Schizosaccharomyces pombe: one gene and its partner. The protein of the gene in region 1 purifies or fractionates together with the protein of each later gene. This does not show direct contact. Each region holds a gene or a part of one and is shown on either strand. Other genes may lie near its edges.

Region 1 (3,654 bases):
CTGCTATTTCCTTTTTAGTAACACGTTTCATGTATGAATCAACACTTTCGGCTAGAACACGTGGATTGACAAACTGTCTATCATAACTTTCTACATAACCTATTAAACACATTAGTATTTCCAAAAAAATAATGACCATGTTCTTACGTTTCAAACCAGTATGCTGTGTGAACTTCCAAGGAAGCGAGGTCGTCTTTTTAGAAGCTGCCTTGATAACTTGTTTAACTTCAGCGGGCTCGACTAATTTGACGCGTAAATGGGTGCCACTTTTCAAAAGGCCACTAATATTAGGATAGATATTAACGATACGACCGCCCAATTGAGAAATTGCTCTTTTCAAAATCTTTTCAGTAGTTGTGATAGGAACATTAATCAAATACAGTGACTTCTTTTCAACATCTTCCGTGTCTTCTTTCAAAAATATACTATGCAACCTCTTTTTATTTTCCAAATAAATTTCTAGTTTAACAAACCCTTTTTCTTTGAGCTTGTCCATTTATATGAGTTGTTTGGTTCTTGGGTAAAATGCAATTTGTTACTGAGCTTGACCGAGGGCAAGACCATAGGAGCTGTATACTCTTATACCTTCGCATACTTCATCTCGTTGTGACTATAATTATTATTATATACAATATACATTAAGAATGTTAGAATAAGCGAAAATTAAACTAAGATTTGCTTATTTTCTAGGATTAAAAAAAAAATGTAATTATACAACTTGTAATTTATTTGCTGCTAAATAAAAGCTCCAAAAAGCAATGTAATAATTGAATTGGGAGCTAGAGGTGTTGGATTGTAAATTAATAAAAAAATACAGCTATATTGATATGCGTGGTTGCTAATTGCATTTAGTGTTCCTAACCAAGATAAACGTTTTTAAAAAAGATCCTTATAGCCTACTCATACAAAGTATAGTGCTCGGTATAGTCATTTAAAAGGATTATTGATATTTGAATAAATTACTGCACACGCTTAAGGTAACTTTTTGCATTATAAAATGGTCATTCAAAATTTTTCGTAATAACAAAGAAACGTTATTGTATACTTCTTGTTCGATTGGACTCACTACCTTCTACGACTTCCCTTATGCAAAATCAGTTTTCCAAAAGTTTGAAGTCTTTTAAGTTCTGAGTTTGGGTTAATTGTAGGGGTTTTGCGTCTTATTGGAGTCACAGGAAGCTCTATAGGGCTAAGTTTTCTCAACGGTGAGGATGAGTCTGCATTAAAATAAAAAGCTTCTGCAGCATCATATTGGTTACTTGCTGATTCTTCAAGAGATATGAAAGAACGGTTTTTACTCACAGAAAGAGAATCCACTGATGTGTAAGGCGAGTAACCCCTCGATGCATCAATAACGTTGATACTTTCCGTAGAAACATTAGACACGTTGTTGATTTCTGTATGACATGATTCTTTTTTCACTTTGTAAGGAGGTGATCTAATTGTATTAGAATGTGATGGATGCTTGTTTTTTGAAGTAGTGGGACCGGTTTTTGAAAAAGTATAGCTGACTATTTCATCCTCTTCTAAATAGTCTGGTAATCGGTAATTATTTTGTGAAAGTAATTTATTATTGTCACTTAAATTATATTTTAAGCATTCAAAGCCCATCGGAGAATCCTCTATACTATAAGTCGACATATTTAACGTAGGATCTGAAGTTTTTAATATCATCAATCTTGCAGAATCATGTCTTAGTTTACTCAATGCTTCTTCAGCTCGCAATGGCAAAGGAAGAGATTCAAATAATTGTTCAAATTTCACTTGGATTCGATCTTCTTTTGGTGCATTATTTATGAACGCGTGCGATTCACTTTGTTCCAACATTTTGCCATGCGATTTATCTTTTTAAAGATATGACTTTAGGTTAAAATGAAGTTTAACAAAGTTTTGAGATTTGGATAAATCCAACTTTTCAATAATTGCTTCATTTAGGTGTTAAGGCTCAAGAAAATTGGTTAGTGAAGAAGGTAAATAAAATCAACGATATATATACTGTAGGTGCTTGCAAAAAATGTCTTCAATGAAAAACCTAGGAATTGATTAAAGGGATGATAAAGACAAAAGAGGTATAGAGTTTATATATACTATTTATTTGATACAGCGAACCGCTGACATTTTGTAGAATACAACTTATGTAGCTTAATTGAATGTTTTGATCGCAAAAAAAGGGTTTCTAGGAATTTTCGATATATTAGAGCTAGATGAGATGAAGTATTAGGAAAATGTTTTTTTTTTCTATATATAGAAATAGCAATACCAATAAACGCGCGACAAATAAGCTTACTATTTACAATGTAAAACAAACATTTCTCTCAAGCTGCGAAACCAATGTGATTTCTAATTCTAAACCATACTTATTCATTCTGTAAGTTCAGAGCGAATATCTTGCAAATTAGCGGAAACATTCATTAATGCTCGTGTGCGGGCAAGCAATGCATTTCCTTACGACTGATATTGTTCCGGCAGTGACCCAAAAAGTCATATGCCTTTGAAACTAATTACAATGTTCAATATCAAATGTATATATGAGGTATTAATTCATAATAATAATTCATTCGTATGAATAACAGCTCAAATATTTTTTATTTTTACTGTATATATTCGTCTATGGATAGAACCGTACAACTAGGAAGGTTGTCCGAGTGGTTATGGAGCTAGTTTAAGGCACTAGTGCGAAAGCTCGTGGGTTCGAGTCCCACACCTTTCAATACTATTTTTATTCTTTTGGATATCTGCAAAATGTCAATGTAAAAAAAGGAGAAAACCGAAATTGATAAATATTTTTTTGAATTCAACTTTAAAACAACTTCATATATTGATCCTTAATAGTTTATCATTTTTGCTGTCTTTACATCACACTATTACAATTTAGTGTATTGTAGCAAACCTTTATTATTCCAAATCCTTTCTAAACAATGTTTAACGAAATACAGTGACTCTCATCAAATCTCTTTACTACCCCCAGCTACATTTCCTAATAAGGTTTTATAAATGGCCTACCATAGGTCATACTGGTTTCACACACCGAATAGGATTCTACAGGTTCAAAGCACTACCGTGCACTCATACTCCATATAATATATTACAGTGTTTATAAGGGTGTAGCATATTTACCTTCTACCACATACAACAACCCCCTCTAGCAATAATACAAAATAAGCAAGCCACTGTTAGTTGATTTGGCTTTCGTACATTCTTCTTGTTTTTTCTTGTGCTGTCTTTATTCAAGATTGAAGTAAATTACTTGTTACGGAAAAACCATCATAATGACTTCTTACGGCAATGGCTTTCGCATGATGGCGAAATGTCTTTTATCTCTACGTTCAGGATATTCAGTCACTGCTCCAGTGTCTAAATCCATGGCCAACGTCCTTTGGGCCCGTTATGGTATGTGTTGTTGATCATGATGTAGATATTGTTTGTTAAAGGAGACGGGATATATATGTTAGTACTCAACTTGCTCATAAGAATCAACTTTTGCTAAGTGCATCTGTCTTAAACTTTATTTTGAATCAAGTGGACGCTGTTGATTTCAAAATAATTAAATAATTCTTCACAAGGTCATATTCACACATGAATAGGAATTCTCAACTATGTTTTCTTCCTTTCACTCAGTATCTTCGGGATTTACTTTTTCTTATGTTGTTTCAA
Region 2 (3,483 bases), 1.9 Mb from region 1:
CTGACAGCTCCTTGGTTTCTTGCTGAAATTCGTGGATATGGTTATGTTTATGATAAGCTTGATGAATATGGTTACTTTTATCTTTTCTTTTCCATCGCGCTTTTCCTTCTATTTTCTGATTTTTTGATTTACTGGATTCACCGCGCTTTGCATCATCGTTGGCTTTACGCTCCTTTGCATAAGCTTCATCACAAATGGATTGTTCCAACTCCTTACTCTTCTCACGCTTTTCATTATCTTGATGGATACAGTCAATCCCTTCCATATCATATGTTTCCCTTTTTCTTTCCCTTAAATAAGTATGTTTACTTATTGCTTTTTGGATCAGTAAATTATTGGACCGTACTCATCCACGACGGCAAATACTTTTCTAACAACGCTGTCGTAAATGGTGCTGCTCATCACGCTGCTCACCATATGTACTTTAATTACAATTATGGTCAGTTTTTCACCTTGTTTGATCGTCTTTGCAGTTCATATCGTCAACCAGACCAAGAATTATTTGACGCCGAACTTCGCAATGAGAAATTGCAAGAGCAGCGCATTCGCTTTATGGAGACAGTTCAATACACCGTTGAGGGTAAAGATGATCGCACTTATGCCAGCAAGAAGGATAACTAATTCACTTTAAGATTTATTATTTGATACACTCCCCTCTCTTTTGTTTTATGTTCTAGCTTGTCTTTTGAGAGAGAAGCTGAAATAAAACCGCTTTTGATTTGATTTATATAGAATTATTATTTTTGGTATTTTTTCACCGTGTTGTTAAAGCTACTCATATCGATTTTTTTTGCTAAAATGGAAAATATTGCTGAATTATGACTTTAATTCATGTAAACGTGAATTTGGGTTGAAAAGAAGTTATGAACGCTTACAGTTTTGTTTTTGATAGAAAATTAACGCTTTAAAAATATGCGTAACATGTAGTGATTGAGTCTTTTCTGTAGTAAGTTGTGTATAAAGTTCAGTAAAGTTCACATTGGGTAAGTTACTAATGCATCAAAATTATCGTATAAAAGGTACTAATCACATTTTTACTGCTCTAACATTTCTTCTTAGAAATACTCGATTATGTAAATCAAGTTTTTTACCTTGTGCCCTGATTAAGCTTTTTGACCGAAGAGAATGAAGATTTATTGGATGATTATGGTTGTCTTTCACCCCAAATTCGCGAAATCGCAGTACAAGTAGCTCTGTTTCGTACACTCTTGGTTTCTGATTTTCCGTTGGTATAAATCTCCGTCTTTCCAGTCGTTTCAATATGGCGTCAAATTGCTGCAAATTGTCCGGAATTTTTGTATTATGAAACACATTATCAAATGCAATCTCAATTGCTCTTGCTTTTTCTAACGGCATTAAATCCATTTGCTTAACATTTTAATAAAATATCACAGACGGAGAAACTTTCGAAAATTAGGTAGTCCGTTAATATACGAAAGAAAGAATAACTAATTATTGTCGTTTATTAAAGATACTTTAACTAATACTCCTTTTGGAAGAGTAAAACGCGTACTAGTGTATTTCCTACCCTTGAGTATGAGCATGCCATACACATGTGAAGAGTACAAGAAAGTAATATTCTCTTATAATTTCATAATGTAATATATATTATCATAAAGGATTTATATATCTAAAGTCAATAATTTGATATAATTAGTTGCTTTTCTCAAACAAATCATGTTATTTAATGAATTTACTAATAATCTTTTTTAATTGAAGTCCATTAGTTTAATTAGTTGATTTCGGTTTTGGACTCAAACAAATAGGCTCAATGAACTCTGTAATTGCAAATGCTACGTAGACCACCTACAAGAAAGAAAAAAAAAAAATATATATATATATTACAGAAAGCCTCAACTTACTAAGCAGTTAACTCTTGTATTTGAGACGTTTAATTTATACTCTTCTTGTAGAGCGAAGACTAATTTTTCCGTTTACGGTTTTGATTCTCGGGATTAGCGAATTCGAGGTATTTTAGTATATTTATGAACAAAAATGATACACCTGCCGCAGGGGAGTTTTACACAAGGACTAATAGTTGGACAATTGTTGACACTGGCCATTATTTATGTGTTTTTGCGGTTCTTTTTATTTTGTAGTCCAATTCCAAAGTCTGTAGCAAACTCTCCAAAACAAACGGGGAATGAAACACCTGACGAGACTCCTTCAACTCCTTTAAGTAATAACAAAAAAAGGTACAAAAAGCCTCTTACTATCCTTGAACCTCATATACTCAATCTGCTTTACGATGTTAATGAACATGAGCCGGAATCATTGGATTGGTTTAATGTACTAATAGCACAAGCTCTCATACAGTTTCGCTATGATGCATGTTCCAACGATGTTGCCCTGAGAAAACTTGAAACTGTTCTCAACAAAGGTGCTCAAGACAAGTCTATGGTTGATCATATTTACGTGCGAGATTTATCGCTTGGAGACGGATTTCCGGTTTTCAGTCATTGTCGGGTTCTACCTCATCAGCATAATTCCTCACAGCTTCGAGCGGAGATGCTTGTTTCTCTGACTGACAATATTAATTGCACCGTTGACACAAAGCTTTTACTTAATTTTCCAAAGCCTGCGTTTGCAACCTTACCATTGTCCATTACAGTTAGGATTTGTAAATTTGTCGGAAAGGTAAGTCTATTTACAACCTTAATAGTATATAGTCTCTACGATTCTTTACACCCCTCCCCCGGGGGTTTGAAACATCAAGTGTTAAATCGTATCACAGTGGTATTCTACGATAGACTATTTTTTTTCGTCTTTTAATAACGGTCTTTTCTAACATTTGTCCTAGATTATGATTTATTTTTCCCCAAGCAATGGTGCAGGCCAGCCTGCATATATGAACTTGTCATTTGACCCCAATTTCGTGATCTCGCTACAAGTAAGTTCTCTTGTGGGAGCTAGGTCAAAGCTTCAAGACATTCCTAAAATTACACAATTGATCGAATCAAGGATTCGACAATGGTTTACTAATCGTTGTGTTTCTCCTCAGTTTCAACAGTAAGTGAGAGTATGAATTGATTCATACTAACTAATTCCCACAGGATCGCAATTCCCAACCTATGGCCAACCTCTGCAAAAGAAGGACATGCGAGGTCCCATGCACCTCAAGAGGAGTCATCTAATGAAGATTAAACATTCTTTTGACGTAATTTTCGGAAATTTTTTTTATCTATGAATTTTAACGATAATTTATCTCTACCAGATTCCACGAAATATATTGATTATGAAGTCGAAATAAAAATTTTAAGCATTAGCTTGCGAAATATGGCGGGTAACTTCGATTCGGAATCCAGCCGTTCTTCTCATATTCCATCCACCACCTATTGCATTCGAATTCTACGTTTTCCGAACACATTTTTTTAACAATTCGTGATAAATTCCTCGCATCATCTATTCCGCGATGCTCGCTTCCCTCAAACTGAAGACCCCAATGCTCTAGCATTCCATTAATATTTGTGCGTGGAACGCGAT

What was found.
Region 2: the proteins of mis20 (region 1) and mis19 purify together in Schizosaccharomyces pombe (affinity purification with mass spectrometry; 2 studies listed by BioGRID). This does not show direct contact.

What each region holds. Positions count from the first base shown.
Region 1 is NC_003423.3:3,208,195-3,211,848, reverse strand, and holds mis20 (protein Mis20), read right to left. Parts: upstream 1,964-3,654; 5' UTR 1,828-1,963; coding exon 1,066-1,827; 3' UTR 686-1,065; downstream 1-685. Other genes in the region: rRNA processing protein Rrp7, read right to left, coding at 1-99, 148-496; kgd2 (dihydrolipoyllysine-residue succinyltransferase), read left to right, coding at 3,270-3,390.
Region 2 is NC_003423.3:1,321,613-1,325,095, reverse strand, and holds mis19 (protein Mis19), read right to left. Parts: upstream 1,366-3,483; coding exon 1,027-1,365; 3' UTR 722-1,026; downstream 1-721. Other genes in the region: C-5 sterol desaturase Erg32, read left to right, coding at 1-621; ERMES complex subunit Mmm1, read left to right, coding at 1,996-2,637, 2,801-3,009, 3,054-3,144; double-strand siRNA ribonuclease Eri1, read right to left, coding at 3,263-3,483. UniProt on the Schizosaccharomyces pombe protein: Component of the CENP-A recruiting complex that ensures the integrity of mitotic spindles through maintenance of kinetochore factors mis6/CENP-I and cnp1/CENP-A.